4 linked regions of the Macaca mulatta genome follow. The protein of the gene in region 2 purifies or fractionates together with the protein of the main gene of each other region. This does not show direct contact. Links are inferred from orthologs where the notes say so. Each region holds a gene or a part of one and is shown on either strand. Other genes may lie near its edges.

Evidence for each region.
Region 1: the proteins of SLC6A15 (region 2) and GPAT3 purify together in Homo sapiens (co-immunoprecipitation; 3 studies listed by BioGRID and IntAct, counting the BioPlex papers as one, with this or other methods). This does not show direct contact. The link is inferred for Macaca mulatta from reciprocal best matches to the Homo sapiens genes SLC6A15 and GPAT3.
Region 3: the proteins of SLC6A15 (region 2) and KLHL36 purify together in Homo sapiens (co-immunoprecipitation; 3 studies listed by BioGRID and IntAct, counting the BioPlex papers as one, with this or other methods). This does not show direct contact. The link is inferred for Macaca mulatta from reciprocal best matches to the Homo sapiens genes SLC6A15 and KLHL36.
Region 4: the proteins of SLC6A15 (region 2) and GOLGA5 purify together in Homo sapiens (co-immunoprecipitation; 3 studies listed by BioGRID and IntAct, counting the BioPlex papers as one, with this or other methods). This does not show direct contact. The link is inferred for Macaca mulatta from reciprocal best matches to the Homo sapiens genes SLC6A15 and GOLGA5.

What each region holds. Positions count from the first base shown.
Region 1 is NC_133410.1:50,209,346-50,213,552, forward strand, and holds the start of GPAT3 (glycerol-3-phosphate acyltransferase 3), read right to left. Parts: upstream 2,810-4,207; 5' UTR 2,627-2,809; coding exon 2,470-2,626; intron 2,413-2,469; exon of another isoform or gene 2,000-2,412; intron 1,852-1,999; coding exon 1,592-1,851; intron 1-1,591. UniProt on the Homo sapiens protein: Converts glycerol-3-phosphate to 1-acyl-sn-glycerol-3-phosphate (lysophosphatidic acid or LPA) by incorporating an acyl moiety at the sn-1 position of the glycerol backbone.
Region 2 is NC_133416.1:92,090,430-92,094,598, forward strand, and holds the start of SLC6A15 (sodium-dependent neutral amino acid transporter B(0)AT2), read right to left. Parts: upstream 2,805-4,169; 5' UTR 2,564-2,804; intron 1-2,563.
Region 3 is NC_133425.1:80,009,921-80,013,954, reverse strand, and holds the start of KLHL36 (kelch-like protein 36), read right to left. Parts: upstream 2,810-4,034; 5' UTR 2,674-2,809; intron 2,488-2,673; exon of another isoform or gene 2,423-2,487; intron 432-2,422; 5' UTR 416-431; coding exon 353-415; exon of another isoform or gene 345-352; coding exon of another isoform or gene 328-344; intron 1-327.
Region 4 is NC_133412.1:166,047,681-166,051,948, reverse strand, and holds the start of GOLGA5 (golgin subfamily A member 5), read right to left. Parts: upstream 2,810-4,268; 5' UTR 2,669-2,809; intron 119-2,668; 5' UTR 89-118; coding exon 1-88. UniProt on the Homo sapiens protein: Involved in maintaining Golgi structure. Stimulates the formation of Golgi stacks and ribbons. Involved in intra-Golgi retrograde transport.

The sequences.
Region 1 (4,207 bases), on a different chromosome or scaffold from region 2:
TAAAGTCAGTAAGAGTTCAAAACAGAAATAGCTCCCAAGTAGAAACAATAAAACTTTAAAAGCATGAGCACTGAGAATGAAGAATCACATACAACTTCAAAGACTAGGCAAAGAAATAGCCACAAACGAGAGTCTAGGGCAATACAGGAGGCTAGCAGGTACAAGACAGTGTCCAGTGGGTTAGAGATGTATTCCCCAATTAGCTGAGGAAGAAGAGCAGATAAAGCCACATCCTAAGGGCAGAGAGAAAATAAGGTCACAAAAATGGGAACCAAACTTATAAGAAGGCACTGTGGAATGCTAGAATCTCAGTAATCATATTATTCTTTTAATAGCAACAAACATTCATATAGTCGATGCAGGCAGCCTTCTAAGGTGCTTGATACATTTTAACTTATTTGAACAACCCTGTGGAAATAGGAGTTATTGTTACTCCTATTTTATAGATAAAGAAAATGAGGCACAAGAGTACATGACCTCCTTAAGGTCACATTTTGAGAAACAGAGCTACAATTTTGGTACCAAATCTAAGCAAACCTGTATCCAGGATCTCTACTCCTAACCACTAGGCTGTACTCAGTTAAGACTCCTGTTTCTGGCCAGGCGTGGGGCTCACACCTGTAATCCCAGCACTTTGGGGGGCAAAGGCAGGAAGATTGCTTGAGGCCAGGAGATCAAGACCAGCCAGGCCAAGATAGCAAGACGCTGTCTCTTATGTAAAAAAAAAGTATATGTAACATATAAATATATATATTTTTGAAACAAGTAGATATAAATTATATACATACAATTTTTTTTTAAAAAAAGACTCCTGCTTCTAACAGTTAATTCAAACAAACCACTGATCTCTGACTCTCAGTTTCCCTCTCTGTAAAAGGGGGATAGCACTTGCCCTCCCTACCCTACCCAGCCTTTTGACACTTAATAAAACCCTAAGAGTAAGCTGCAGTTGTTCTCTACCAGGCCCACTTCCATCTAACATTTTTCTTTGCAGAATTTGGAAACAGGAGGGTAGGGAGACCTGAGGTCAAAGAATATATACCTTTTCAATGGCATTTCAAGTGCTGTTAGTTAGATAAAATTCCATGACTCCACTAAAAGAAAATACGATTTCTTTCTGCCATCCAGGAATTGGTCTCTTATCTTGGGCATAAAGAAGAACACGATGCCTTTCTGAACAGGATGCCTGAGTACACAAAAGGACCTCTGAAACCTGGGGCTGTAAAAACAAGCGGGTGAAGGGGAAACTGCACTGCATAATGGATATAAGCAAATCCTCTGATACAAAAAGTTGGTCGCATTGTTATTATAATCAGTAAAATAATAACGATGCTCAGGGAATGGAGTGATTTTTGCTTCCGACCAGAGGAACAATAGTGGTCCAGTGGTTTCAGCCCAAATCCCTCCAGGTCCGCAAAAGCCGCCGAGATGCTGACTTTCGCACTGCCGCGGGCAAGGAACAGAAATGCACGCACGCATGCACACGCGCGCACACACACCCCTGATCCGCGACCACTGACCTTGAGAGCTGGACCCCAGGGTTCTGAGCCCGCAGTGGCGTGGGGCTGGCTGCATCCCTCCCGGCACTCACCTCTAAAGTTTTCACCAGGATCTTCATGTAGATCTCGGAGATGCCCAGAGACACTCCGAAGACTGAAGGCAGAAGGATGAAGCCGAGAACCAGCGTCAGCCAGGTGGAAAGGATCTTCCCGGCCAGCTCTGCGCCCTCCATGACTCGGCGCACCCACTCGGGAGAAGTCCGCAGTGGAGGGCCGAGCGCCACAGCAGTCCCTGTCCCCAGGCAGTCCCGCGGGAGCTCCAGGAGCAGAGCGCCGAGCCCGGCACTCACCTCTGCGAGGGGAAGAGAGGAAGGAAAAAAACTTTCAGAATTACGGCAATATCCTTCCTTCCTCCCCGGGCTCCTCCTCGCCCCTGTCAGTTAACTCCTTCTCCGCCGGCGGCCCAGGTCTGGGCTGAAGCCACCGCGGCGTGCGCAGACCTGGGTAGCGCGAGCCAGTGGTTGGAGCTGCGGGTAAGCGGAGGGACACCGCAGCGCGGCAGAGCGCGCGAGCGCAGCCGGGAACGCGCCCCGCCCGGTGCCTGAGTTCCTCTGGGTGGTGATTGCGACAACTCAGCAGATGACTCACAGAGGCCCTCCCCGAGCCCGGTTCCCTGCGGGACCACCGCACTTTGGCACACCGGCAGGGCAGCGGGCGGAGCTCGCACCGGGCCGCGGGCTGTGCTGGAGGCTGGCTGCGCTCGGGCGTCCAGAGCCCTATTTCTGCGCGCTGCCCTCGCCCCACCTCCTCCGTCACCCAACGGGGGAGCTCCCTGGCAGAACTTAGCCCAGGAGCGCCGCAGCCTCCTGGGCGGTCTCAGTTTTTCCCTGCGCCCCGCCTCCCCCAGCACTCAGCAAAGGTCCTTTCAGGAGGAGAGTTTTCATCTGAAAAATGTTAATATTTTCTTCACCCGCAGAATGAACTGCTGACGTTTCTGGGACGCTTGAGGTCTTGTTTGTGTGGGTGTAAAACGAACTCTTGGGAAGGACTTCCAAGGACAGGAAAATGCAGAGCACACCAGGTAGCCGTGTACGCCGCTTCAGGCTCCCACACCTCCTTCCCCGCATGGCCTACAGCTGTGGGGCTCAATCTTGCTTATCCCGAGACTAGGAAGCTCTGTCCACGTGTCGCCTAACCCATTGAGCCGCCATCTCCCTAGCACTGAAACCTATCTGTCACTCCCTTCCTGGAGAAGATTCCAACCACACCCTCCCCTACCATTCAGCTAATACTCTCCGCGCTTAGAGGTAGCAGAAATGCCAGGCCGGCGCAAGCCTTCATTCACCAAGCTGACACGTGTCTCCTGGGTGTTCAGGCTCCGCGCTTCTACCGTGCCAGCCCTTATCAGAGCAACGAAGGGCAAAACCCTGTATGTTATTTACTCCATTGCAGTTCTCTTAGAGACCTGAACTATTTTAAGGAATGAGCAGAAGGGATTTTGAGAAGGGATTTTCCAGATTGCCGCTGAATTCGACCAAAATATCTTACAGGTACTTTTCAGGTGTTGTTTCAAGCTGGAAAAACTGGGAGGGCCAGCAAACTGAATTGAAACAGCGTTGATAGCAAATATTGCAGAGAAAATGGTCCCTGCCCAGGGTGTGGAGGAAGTGGGGAGGCAAGAAAGTGAGAAGACCCTCTGTAAATAATGTAGATGTCTGCCTTATGTACTTACTGCCAGGTAACTGTCACAAGCCCCCTCCCGCACTAAGAACGGAAAAAATTATAAGTTGATGATTAAAACCAGGTTATGGACCGGGCGCGGTGGATCACGCCTGTAATCCCAGCACTCTGGGAGGCGAGGTGGGCAGATCACCTGAGGTCAGGAGTTCAAGACCAGCCTGGCCAACATGGCGAAACCCCCATCTCTAGTAAAAATACAAAAAAAATTAGCCCCGCGTGGTGTCGCACGCCTGTAGTCCCAGCTACTCAAGAGGATGAGGCAGGAGAATCACTTGAACCTGGGAGGCGGAGGTTGCAGTGAGCCAAAATCGTGCCACTGCACTCCAGCCTAGGAGACAGAGCGAGACTCCGTCTCTTTTTTTTTTTTTTTTTTTTTTTGTTTGAGACGGAGTCTCGCTCTGTAGCCCAGGCTGGAGTGCAGTGGCCGGATCTCAGCTCACTGCAAGCTCCGCCTCCCGGGTTTACGCCATTCTCCTGCCTCAGCCTCCCGAGTAGCTGGGACTACAGGCGCCCGCCACCTCGCCCGGCTAGTTTTTTGTATTTTTTTTAGTAGATACTGGGTTTCACCGTGTTGGCCAGGATGGTCTCGATCTCCTGACCTCGTGATCCGCCCGTCTCGGCCTCCCAAAGTGCTGGGATTACAGGCTTGAGCCACCGCGCCTGGTCGACTCCGTCTCAAAAAACAAAAACGAAACAAAGAAACAGATTATGAATGAAGACGTGTTAGGAGCTTGGTTTCTCAAAATTAAACCTCTGTATGGGTTGGCTAGTTTAGAAAAACACGGAAAACACAACTACCGAAAGCTGCCCAAAGTCCTTGCTTCCAAAAACTATATATATTTAGTGCAAAACTCCAAAGATTATATTGGCATATTTAATACCATATGTTCAGGCAAAACTCTTATTTTCCTTTTATTCCTCAAACCAAGATGACTAAGGAAGGCTGAATCCTTGTACCAAAGTTTACC
Region 2 (4,169 bases):
GGTAAGGAAGGCATCTCATCTGATTATTGGCATCTCTCATAACTGTTATCCAGTTTTAAGATTCTGTATTATTTCATATTTATTCAGTGATAGAGTACTTATCTCCTAGAAACATATAAAAATGCTTTTATTTATTCCATTAAAATATTATATCTTGAGTTAACTATATTAGAATCATAAAATAATTTTTCAATCAAGTATATAATGTGCAATCAGAAAGAAAAAAGCTTATCAACAGTAAAGTATTATCTTTCTTTAAAAATCCTATTCATTCCTGTCATCCTTAAAAAAAAAAAAAAGACTGAGAAAGCTTTATTTGTAGAAAAATGGTTAATAAATTCTGTTTTAAATTTGTTGGGATATGTTTTACTCCAACAAATACACATGGATCATTGATGATTCCATGAAAAGGCAACAATCCACAAAAATAAAATCACCAGATTTTGATGGTCGAATATCTTGAATTTAATATGAAAGAAAAAAATACATACTGTTTATTAGTCCAAACTGCACCATGCTGTAAGCTCCCTGCTGTTTTGCAGACCTTGGTCAAAGCGAAACATTTCACAGGGGTTCGAGCTGTGAGAAACATCCCGTCTAACCAACTGTCCACAAGGGGGACAAAGGCCCAACTAAAGAGACATCCCTATCATATCTTATTGGACAAAGGTCCAAGGAACACCCTGAACACCAGAACGACATTCCGCCGGAACAAGGGCCAGAACCGCCTCTTCATGGAAGCATCTTATCAATATCCCGCCGGGCAGCAAGCCATACTGCTCAGATCCCTTCTGCCCATACCTTTAAATTGACCCAGCCTGTAAGTGGCAGCGGGCTCTGGCATTAGCCGGGTCCCCCACTTCTGTAGGTTTTATGCTGGACAGAAAGCCTGAATTTGCTGTTGAGCCGCCTTCTTTCTGTGTGTGTGTGTGTGTGTGTGTGTGTGTGTGTGTGTGTGTGTGTGTGTGTCTTTCTTTAACCCTCGCCTTCCCTTCAAAACCTGACACTGTTCAAAAAAAATTTAGTCCATCATTAAGCATTTATTAAGAACGTACAAGTCAAGCCCAGTACTAGGTGCCTAAGACATAAGTAGGTCTGTATTTCAGCACTGTTCTTGCAGAAATGAGACTGGGTAGGTGAGGGGCTTGAAGAGGGTTGTGTCTGCAGAGAATAATTCCTCAAAGCAAACACTTTGTTGCTGGTGTCGCGGAAAAGCAATCAGGCATTGACAGGTAGAAAATAGCTTTTACAGGATGGGCTATGAGGAGACCAAAGGCAGCATGTAAAGCAAATCCTTCATTTTTCCCATACGTCTTAAGTAGTGAACTGCAAGGATGGTGCAGACTAAGATTGGGTCTACCTTTAAGATCTGGAGGGGAAAATGGCAAGACCAGAAGAAACGGTCGCAGACTCATTTGCATAAGCACCCAAACATTGCTTACGTCACTGCGCCGGAGTCCGGACCCCGCCCCGTCTTACTCCAGCCTTTCCCAGCTAGGGAGGAGGATGGAAAGGGAAAGCGGGAGGATGGAAAGGGAAAGCGGGAGGATGGAGAGCGCGAGCCTCGGGGCTTTGCTTTCCTCAAATGCATATCAAATGCTGCTTCTCAGCTCAGGGAAAATAATTCCCGCTCCCGCAGCCTGTGCCACTGGGTGGGTCATGCCGGCCCCCGAACGCCTCGGGCGTCTTGATTCATTCTTATGTATCACGCTGGTGCGCTACGTTAGAGTGCAAGATTTTCCCTGTACTCAATACCGTCTTCTTCCCAGTCACACACAGAACAGCCTAGTGAAAGAAAGGTAGAAACGATCTGGGTTTCTAACTGATTCCCATCTTCTTACAATCCCAGCAGCACCACCCTCACCGCCACACTCTCAAATTCCAGGTGCGCAGAAACACAGGAGCCGTGACTTCTCCAGCAGCCACGTGCCTTTCGCACGGCGAAAGGCCCCCTTTCGGGCCATTTATCACAGGATACCTCAAGCAAAAGGGAACTGTGGTCACGTGAAAACACTCTGTCCTCGGTAGTCGCCTTCAGCCTTTGCAAAAGCGAACGGAAGCGAACGAGGAATAAAGCTCTCTGCTCTCCCCGCCCCATCGCCCACCTGCACGAGGTTTAGCTTCCAATTCACCTCGCGCCTCTCTCTGCCCCGACCCTCCCAACTTTCCTCTTGGACTTCCCCGTGTTGGACCCCACCCTTCAACCAACCCCGACTTGACTTGGAAACAAGTAGGTCTCTGGGGATGCTGTGGGCAATTTCCACGACGGGAAGGAAGGATGGCGGCACGTTTCAACCCATGTGCTTCCCCTTACATGTGCAGCCTGTCGCCCCCCACCCTGATTGTGCAGAGGTGCAGAGTTAGAAGGTTGCCCGCCCAGCCCAGCTTCTCCCTCCCAGGGCTTTTGAGCTGCCCTCCCTCCTCCCACCCCAAGACGCAGCGAGTCCTTCCCGGCATCCGTCTGCCAATTCGCTCCCTGTGCTGGTGCCCAGGCTCCTGGGTGGCTAATGGCGAGCCCCACCTCATCCCCAGTTGTGCCCTTAGCGTAGGCGCTTGCCATTACCGTCAGTGTGTCTTGACCAAGCGCCTTTTGCTGCTTCCACGTCCCGGCAGGAGCAGCAGCAGTCGCGAAAGGGTAGGGTCCAGGTGGCTGTGACGGAGGCCGCAGAGGAGCTGTTTTCAGAGAAGCAGCTTCTTGTCTAGGATGGGACCAGGAGCTGGGTTTTGGGGGTTGCTGCCCTGCAGGCTGGCAAGGAGAGACTCGTGAGCGCCTGTGTGTCTGCCAGGGAAACAGCACGGGATACAGGCGCGCGGGTGCGGGTGCGCGTGTGCATGCGTATGTGTGTGCGCGCGCGCGTGTGTGTGTATGTGTGAGGGTGTGACGGAGGCGCCCACGTGCCCGGCCCGCCCGTGTTGCGGGCGCCTACAGGCTGCAGGGGAGAAGGGTAAGCTGTGGGCGGCGGCGGGGCGCGGAGGGGTAGCCAGGAGAGCCGGCTGAGCTCCGCACTTCCCCGCCCCAAAACCCACTGATGCAACGGCCACTGCGGCTGCCCAGCGGCGTCTTCCCAGAGCCCAGGGCTGTGCCCGCCCGATGCGGGATACAACTGAGGAAGCCCGCTCCAAAGCAAAACAAAACAAATTCCTCCAGCCATCCCGTCTTTCTCCAACCCACTCAAACGAAAGAATGGACACCAGTTACCCGCCCCTGACTTTTGCCTCAGTGAGAATAATAATAGGCATGGTGCTACCTGGCACCATGTGAATATTCTCTAAGAGTCAGTAATGGGACTAGAAAAAAATGGGTGACCCGAAGAACCCTTTTCCCTACCTATCTCCACAAGCCGGCCATTTCCATCTCTTGCGAAAGAAAAAGCCTCTGGGCATTGGCTTCTCCGTCAGGCGGTGGCCTGATAGCGCTCAGTGATTCCCTCCAGGTTATGAAAGGCCGTTTTAGAAAGCTGGTCCTCCCTCACCTATGGTGTGTTGGTGCCTCAGCAGCCGACTCTTTTCCAAGGGGTCTCATTAGAAGATGAAGCCTGGCTTACCTCTGCTGACAATCAAGGCATGATCGTAATTAAGCCACGTGGAGAATTCCTAAAATATACATCTCTGAACACAAAGCTTAGCCTGCTTTTGAAAATGGCTGAACTGTCCCCTAAACAGTGCATATGCTCTAGGGATGAAATTTTCCGTCCTTGAAACATTCAAAATTTAAAAGAAATGCAAAATGAACCTAGAACGTAGGTAAAAGGTTAAGTAACTTAGCAAAGTACATTTTTCACTTCCAGATTATTAATATTACTCTTAAAAATACTTTTGTGCACTTTGAGGCCTTTTAACAATCCCTTAGATTTTTACAGTTCGCAACCAATTAAGATTGAATTAAATAAAAAAGGCCATTGCAGACAGGTTTTTCATGCAGTGAAAAATCTCTTGGAAAGAAATCACAAGACCTAAATTTCAGGTCAGAACATTGCTACTAATCCTTAGCTTTTAAAGCAGCCAAGAGAGCTTTTTCTCAGACTCTCTTCCAATCCCAACTTTGAAAAATTAAAAGTTAAGAAATTAAATTAGATTTGATTCCCTGATACCCCTCCCCTGCCATAAGTAAATAAATGCTCTTTGGTAGATGCACCACAGGAAAAAATAAAAACAGTCAAAATAAACCT
Region 3 (4,034 bases), on a different chromosome or scaffold from region 2:
GTTCTCAATGCACCTATCCTTGGAGTTTTTGAGCCCCAACCCAGTTTTCTTCCTGTCCCATCCACCTCCTTGGGTTGATGAATGGGTCAAGTTGTCACAAAGAGAAAGCTCTGGGATGTCACACTGAAAAACGAAGACGTCTGGCCATAGTGTCTCTAACATCCCTCACACTTCCCACTCTCTGATTTTATGACAATTTCCGCTCCTTGCCCATTTCCACCTTTACTTGTCATTAAGGAGATTGACAACACCAATGACAAAAAAATCAGTCTGTGATTAGAAATGAGTGAATCAGAAAAAGGATCACACTTCTTAGGCAATTTGCACAGGTGGTGAGTGAACATTCACAGACCTTGGATGATTCGCTGATCTTGTATGGCCGAGACACTCGCGTCTGCCTGCTTCCCTCCATCATTACAGAGATCTCAGCCCTAGGAGAAGAACAGGATTTCTGAGCATGCAGTCATAACTCTAGCTCATTCATTAATTTCAGGCTCTGCTAGCAGATACCAAGGACGACAGTGAAAACAGTCACACGGAGGAAGGAGGGAGGGAGGACCGTGCACTACAAAGAACTCTTTTACACTGAGTTGAGAGCTCATCGGGTTGTTAGAATTGGACAGAACATTTAACTTGCATTCCTTTATCATCTAAAATCTGACATCATGTCATTTAGTTCACTTCCTACAAATAATTACCTTTTGGCTACACCGAGGTTATAATGATAAGTTATAATTTCGGAGCCCAGACTACAGTCCTAGAACCAAACTAAGGGACTTACATGTGCCATCTCATTTAACCCCCACAAAGATTACACTTGGCCAGGCTGATATCGCTTATCCCATTTCACACATGAGGATACTGATCTCATGGTCACAAAGCTAGTAAGTGGCTGAGAATCACACCTGGGTCTGTCCAGCTTCAAAACCTGGATCCATCACCATGACACGATGCTGAATGAGGCCCGGGGTTCGAGAGCATCACACTTTGAAAATATGATACAGGTGAGGATGTGGTACAGTGATGACTACCATGTACACAGTACATTCTAGACACACTGTCCCCAAGTGCTTCTCTGTGGCTTCACTCACTTAGTCCCCATTGCAACCCCATGAGGCCAGCACTGTGACTGGAGGATGCTGACAGCAGTGAGGTGAAATAACCTGCCCCGTGTCACACAGCTGGGAACTGGCAGAATTGGGATTCCAGGTCAGGGAAAAGTCCATGCTCTTAACTCTTAGGCTGCACTGCCTGGCTCTTGGAGGGGGGATCACTACAGGCAGAGTTAGGCTTTGGTGTGGCGGGAGCGGGGGTGGGGGAGGGTGTGGGGGGGCGGTCAAGTGCTTCAAGGATGGAGGGGAACACAGAGAAGGGACTTGGCCAACTAATATTAGTACAAGTCACACACTGAGACTAAGGTTTTAAAGAGGATTTTCCCCCCTGCTATTTGAGTTCAGGAGAAGAGTTTGTTACCTATTGAACACACTGTCTTTACTAATAAAGAACAATGTGACAAGAAGTCAGCACTGTTCTTAGATAATTGGGGACACAGGGAGGCCACTCCAGTGTTCCCATGGAAGGAATGAATTCGGGCACAGTCCGTCCTGTGCAACTCCCCTAGGGAGAGAAGGGACAACGAGATTCCTCTTGACAAACTAGAAACTTTGTGACAACGACAAGCTGTTCCCATTCCCGGCCCTCCTGACTACCCCTAGGATGCTGGAGAGCACAGAGAGGGAAGAGAAGAAACCCAGCTTTCGGGCAGTGCCCACCGCGGACCCAACTTCATTCCACCTTCACCCTTTGAGACAGGTGCCACCGTCGTTCCCACAGTGAGACCCGGCGCTCGGGTGCCTCGGGGGGGGGTTGCCCAAGGTCACAGAGCAGCAAGCAGCAGGTGCCTCTCTCTCCACCGCCCCAGGCAGCCTGCCCGGGCTCAGCCAGGCCCTCTAACGCTCAACGCTTTCTTTTCTAGGCCAAGATACCTAGAGAGTTCCCGGGGCCGGAGGCTCCCTGCTGTCTCCTGCAAGTGCGTGGGGGTGCGGGCTGACTTCCACGCGTGTTGGATGTCAGCGGCCTCCGACGCTTTTTGGAAGCAGGTGAAGGGTCAAGGCCACCCACACACACAGTGACAATCCCAAGTCACTGGAAAAGGTCTTCCAGTAAACATGGGAACGCAGGCCCCGTCCGGACGGGGGGGCTCCCAGGGAGCCTCCTTCCCAAGCTCCCTCCCGACCTCAGCGTTGGAGAAAGCGACGCTGCTGACACCGGCTCGCCCGCGGGGTCTCCGGGGACGCCGCTGTCGTTCACTCGGACCCCGCAGCCCAGGCGGAACTCAGCTCAACGGCCGCCCAGGCAGGCTCCAGCCGGAGGCGAGGAGGCGGAGGCGGAGTCGGGACCGCCCGGGGCGGGGGCCACTCACCTGCCACGCGCGGGGCGGAACGCACAGGCCGCACCTGTGTCACCTGCGGGGGCGGCGGCCCCTCCCCTGGCCTCTTCCCCCAGTCGCGCCGCCCCACTCGCCCACCCGCCCGCCCCGGGCACCAAGGGGCGCAGGGGGCTCGCGGCTCGCTGGGGCCGGGGACCCTTCCGATCTCCGCCCGCCCCCCGCCCCTGGCGGGCGCGGCTTCCCGGCGGTCCCGGGCTGAAGGGTGGGCGCGCGCGTAGGCCCACCTGGCAGGACGCGCTACGATCGCGGCGGGGACAGCCCCGGCGGCGGGGCCGGGCGGTCGGGGCTGCGGGGCCCTGGTTCAGGAGCCCCCCGGCCGGCCCGCTGCGCAGCCATGGCTCCGCCAGGAAGTGCGAGGCCGAGGGCGGAGGCGGCGCGCGTGGCCAATGGCGGCGGCCGCGGGGAGGCGGGGCCGGGCGGCGCGGGGCGGGGCCTGCGGCCGAGGGCGGGGCGCGGGGGCCGTGGGGTGAGCTCGCGGGGTGGACGCCCTCCTCGTCCGCGCTCCGGGGATCCCCGGTGTCTACCCCACCACGACGCCCGATTCCGTCCCTTCAAGGGCAGGCCGCAGCCCCGCCGCGCGAAATGCGCCCTGGTGCCACCCACCGTTACGGACGCAGGGCCACGGCGGGGACGGGACACGCAGGGTCCCGGGCCTCGAGGCACTGACGCGTGCGCTGGGACCTCCTTGCTGGTCCGGAGTCGCCGGGACGGGCACCGCGCCTCTCGCCTCCTTCCGGGCTGAGCTGGAGCGTCCCTGTGGCCACCCTGCGGGGAGGCCTTTGCTGACCACTCTGCTTAAAGTCACATCCCCCCTTTCTCTCCACCCCAACTTCCAACCCCACGCTTCACTTGAGCTCTTATCAGCGTCTGATATTCCAAAGAATGTACTGGTTTATTCGGTTTATTGTCTCTCCTTCCTACCAGAAACCCTCCAGGGCAGGGTTTACTGTCAGTTCTATTCCTGACTGGACCCCCCAGACTGGCACACAGTAGGTGCTCAGTAAATACGTGTGGAATGAATGAACGTAACCTTCATCGATCAATCTATCGTCACACTTCGCTCATGCTACAGCGAGATAACCCTTGAGGATGTAATACTTAGAGAAAGAAGCCCCACACGAAAGACCACACATTGCATGATTCCGTGCATGTGAAATATCCAGAAGAAGCCAATCCATAGAGACAGAAAGTAGATGAGTGGTTGCCAGGGGCGGGGAGTTGCTGGAGTGGGAAATGGCTGCTGAAGGATCAGCAATTTCTTTTGTGTAGTACTCACTATAGCCTCCACCTCCCAGGCTCAAGTGATCCTCCTGCCTCAGTCTCTCATGCAGCTGGGATCACAGGTGCCGGCTGCCACAATCGGCTATTTTTTTTTCTTTGATTTTTATAGAGACAGGGTTTCAGTTTGTTGTCCGAGCTGGTCTTGAACCCCTAGGCGCAAGTGATCCTCCTCCCTCGGTCTCCCAAAGTGCTGGGATGACATGTGTGAGCCAGCACACCCAGCCCACTTACAGGATCTTTGTTTTTTAGTTATTGATTTTATTTATTTATTTTTTGAGACAGAGTCTCTCTATCACCCAGGCTG
Region 4 (4,268 bases), on a different chromosome or scaffold from region 2:
CTTTCCTACTGAGAGCTGTTGCAGCCCCTTGATCAACCCGGTTTAAAAGATCTTCTGCCTTTCCAGCAAGATCAACAAACCAAGACATGATGGCAGCAGGATAATCCTATTGGCAAACCTGTAAAAAGGACATAAAATGATCATCGTGGCATAATGGCAGAGTATGAAAAATGGTTAACACCAGACGCTGGAGTCAGGTAGTCCTGGGTTGAAATCCTAACCCTACCTTTTACTAGCTAGGTAACCTTGAGCAAACTACTTAAACGAGGCTGAGAAATCTTATGTAGAAAACGGGGGGGGAAAGTGTACTTACCTTATAGGATGGTGTTATGATGAAATAATATATAAAAGACACTTTGCAAAATGCTTGGCACATAATAAGCACTCATTTTAGTGGCTGCTATTATCCTTATTACAACTACCACTACTGTGTTTATTATTACTATTTCAATGAAGGGCAAATCTTAATATAGCAAAAGCATCTGTTATGGGCTGAACTGCATCCCTCCAAATTCCTTTATTTGAGTCCTAACCCCCAGACCTCAGAATGTGACTGTTTTTGGAGATAGGGTCTCTAAAGGGATAATTAAAATGAGTCATTAGGGTGGGCCCTAATCAAATATAACTGGCATGTCCTTCTAAGTGGAGGAAATTTCAACAGACAGACATACGGAAAGGACACAGGGAGAAGACAGACATCTGCAAGCAAAAGAAGCAGGCCTCAGAAGAAACCAACTCTGCCAATACCTTCATTTTGGACTTCAAGCCTTCAGAACCGAGAGAAAATAAATTTCTGTTGGCTCAGCCAATCAGTCTGTGGTACTTTGCTACAGCAGCAAATTAGCAACTAACCACTATGGCAAAATTCCAGTACAACCAAATAAAAATAAAATTCACTGAAGTTTGTTTTAAAGTGCTAAAACTTAAAAAAACTTTTCCATTAAATACAAAAGCCATCTTAATGTTAAACTGTGGCACTATTACATCTAATTTAGGTGTGCATATAATTTGTCTAAAGTACATGCTCAATAATCCAAATACTCAATACCTACCACGTGCACATTAAGTTCAGAATAAAAACCAAAACTGCATAACCACTCATTCCATACATATATTTGAGTACTTACTGTGTGACACCATACATCAAAGTAATGATGAAGATACAGATATAGAAGGGTTCTATAATAAAGTCCACAACCATTTCTAGAATGTGCACGTTGTTCCTTTTGCAAAGAACTCTTTCATGGTTAACTTTCTTGTTCTTGGTGTTTACTCAAATGTCATCTGCTTCAGAGTTCTCCTTTCCATCTAAGTTAGGTCAATCACTATCTGTACATATCCTATTCTTTTGCCCCACAGCCCTTCATGTGTTATAATTACGTTTTTTTTTTTAAACATGTCTCTTGTTCTTGGGGAAAGGGGGGCAGTGGTTGGATACAGATTATGTCTGTTTCGCTCACCAATGAATTCTCAGAGTCTAGCACACAGTAGGCACTCATAAATACTGCTGAGTGGAATTTTTTCATGACAGATGCTGTACACAAGTACACATGTATCTTTCATCATATGTAACTTTCACAGTCACATTATGAGGTAAACAGCAATATCCTTTTTTAAAAGCAAATGTGGAAAGGGTTGAGAAAGATCCCAGAGTTTAGATAGCAGCTCAGATACTCAAGTCGAAGTCACCCTAGTGCCAAACCCACCTTTTAATCTTTGCCTCCCTATACCATATAGCTCAAAACCTAAAAAACCTCCAGAAGAAACTCATCCTTTAAACCTGTTTTTTACACATGTGACTATTACATGCCTATGTCTTTCGGAGTTTATAAAAAAACCAAATGAAAATGGAGACGAAATGCTCTGTAACATACAGAACACCATACAGGCCAGGCACTGTGGCTCACCCTGTAATCCCAACACACTGGGACGCCAAGCGGGGAGGACCACTTGAGGCCAAGAGTTTGAGACCAGCCTGGGCAACGTGGCAAGACCCTGTCTCTACAAAAAAAGTAATAAAAAAATCAAAACACACTCAATTCTTTCTATCTTGCCTCTCATTTTAAAATTAATTGGGCTTTAAAACACACCATTAAATTGCTACTAATGTTGCAATTAATGTTGATTACCCAATTAAATACTTAGATGGGCCCTGGGCACTTGCTCCATTGACAAACATCTCAAAGACACAAAGGACTTCAGAGGCACCCTTCAATTCCCCAGGCACTGCCCAAGGGCAGAGAGAGTGCGTGGGATGGGGATGGATCCGCAGAGGGCGGTGGCAGGGCCTGCTTCGAAGGACAGGCGTCAGCACAGAGGGAGGGAGGCTGCAGGTCAGTCGTGTAGGCCCAGTCGGCAGTGCCCTGGGGTCTTCAGTCTGTGGATCTCAGGTAAGCGAGCAGAGACCCCCCACTCCGCTCCCCACCCATCTCGTTCCGTGCGGGAAGAACTGCCAGGTCAGGCAAAGGTCAGGAAGAAAGAATACAGAGGGCAGTAAACAACGTCGGCTGAAGCCCATGGGGTCTCTCCAGCTACCCTCCTCCGCCCCTAACACAGCGAAGACGAGCGCCACCCGAAAGAAAACCGAGAGACCAGGGTCTCCGCTGAAAGGACTGCGCCCCCGCTCCTAGGACCGTTAACACTCCCGTCTTGTCCAGTGGGCCCTCGCCTCCGCCTCACCTGAGGACTCCGGAGAGGTTGCACCACGGCCTAGTCGCCGTCCTGGGCCGCGCCCCCTCGGCAGCTGGCCCGGAGGGGGCCCGAGCAGACTAAACCTTCTCCCGGACCTGCCGCGGCCGTGCTACCGCTTCCGGGAGACGTGGAAGGGGCGCGAGGACCCCAAAACAGAGTGGCTTTCGAGATGCCTGCACGGCAGGGAGCCGAGAACAGCCACCTGCAGGCGATTCAGGCGGTGGCGCCGGTGGCTACGGGGTCCTTACGCATGGCCACGCCCCTTTCCGCCCGTGGCGAGACGAGGCGCGGCGCAGGGCCTGCGTGCGTGTGACGTAGCTGTCCTCCCGCGGTGGACGGCCCGCACGCGGCCGGCGCAACGTGAAAGGCTACACCCACAAAAGGCTAGGCCTCGTTGCGGGTCACGTGAGTTCTCCCTTTACTCACCATCTCCCGAAAGTTTTACAGAAGAGAAATGCCAGAGGCCCACGGCAGAAGGTGGAAATAAGAAACCATGATCCGGATTGCATGGCGCTTACTTTCTAGTGGCAGAGACAGATACTACATGACAGTGAATGGACAAGACAATTTCAGGGCGTTACCAGAGCTGTAACGACAAGAAAACGGGGAAAAGTGACTGGAAGCACGGGAGGTACTTTAAATCAGGTGGTCAGGGAAGGTCTCTCTGAGGAGATGATATTTGAGCTGAGACCCAAAGGATAGAAAAGGTAATACTGTGGTTATGTTATGCATGCAGTTCATTGACTATCTGAAATAAGTCTAAAATCCACATTCAATAGTTCAAAGACTCAGCACCCACTATGTGTACAGGATTGGGCTAATTTGGCCCTAATGACAAGCCTACAATACAGTTCCAAGTCTCACATCTTTGAGTTGAGGAAAGTAAGGCTCAAACAGTTTAAATAATTTGTCTAAGATCATCTGTCCTAATAAGGAGTCCACATTACTCCAAAGCCTGTGCCCCGTAGACTCAAAGTTTTATTGTCTCCAAATTAAATATTGGAAGTAATTACAGCTGCTGCTTTTCTTCCTCTCAGGTGAGGTTTAGCCCAGTACAGTGAAGAGAAAATTTTTCAGCACCAGGAGGTAATAATCATAATAATGGCATCTAACATTTATCAAACTTTTTATTAAGTGTAGAATACTGTGTTAAGCATTGCATGTGCCTCACCTCATTTTAATCTCACATTCATAAGGAAGGTACTATTATTCTCTGGTAGGTGGTATTGTTGTTCCTAACTATTAAGTTGCTTTTCCAGTTAAGGATTATACATCATCGCCTGTTGCCATGTAACTGCAGCGCGTCCTGTAGGAGGAGCATTCTTTCCATCCTCACTGATGTCAGGCTTGATCGTATGATCTTCTTTTGGCCAGTGAAATAGGAGCAGGAGGTCTTTCTGAGCAGAAGCATTAAGAGTTATTACGTATTTCAACCAGAGAAATGTTTCCTTTCATGAGAATAGTCTGTGTCAGAAGGGCTGCTCTTTCAGCCTTGGTCCTAGAAGAAAAAGGGGATGTGAAGCAGCTCACATCTGAGATTTCACATGAGTGAAATACCAACTTTTGCTGTTATAAGC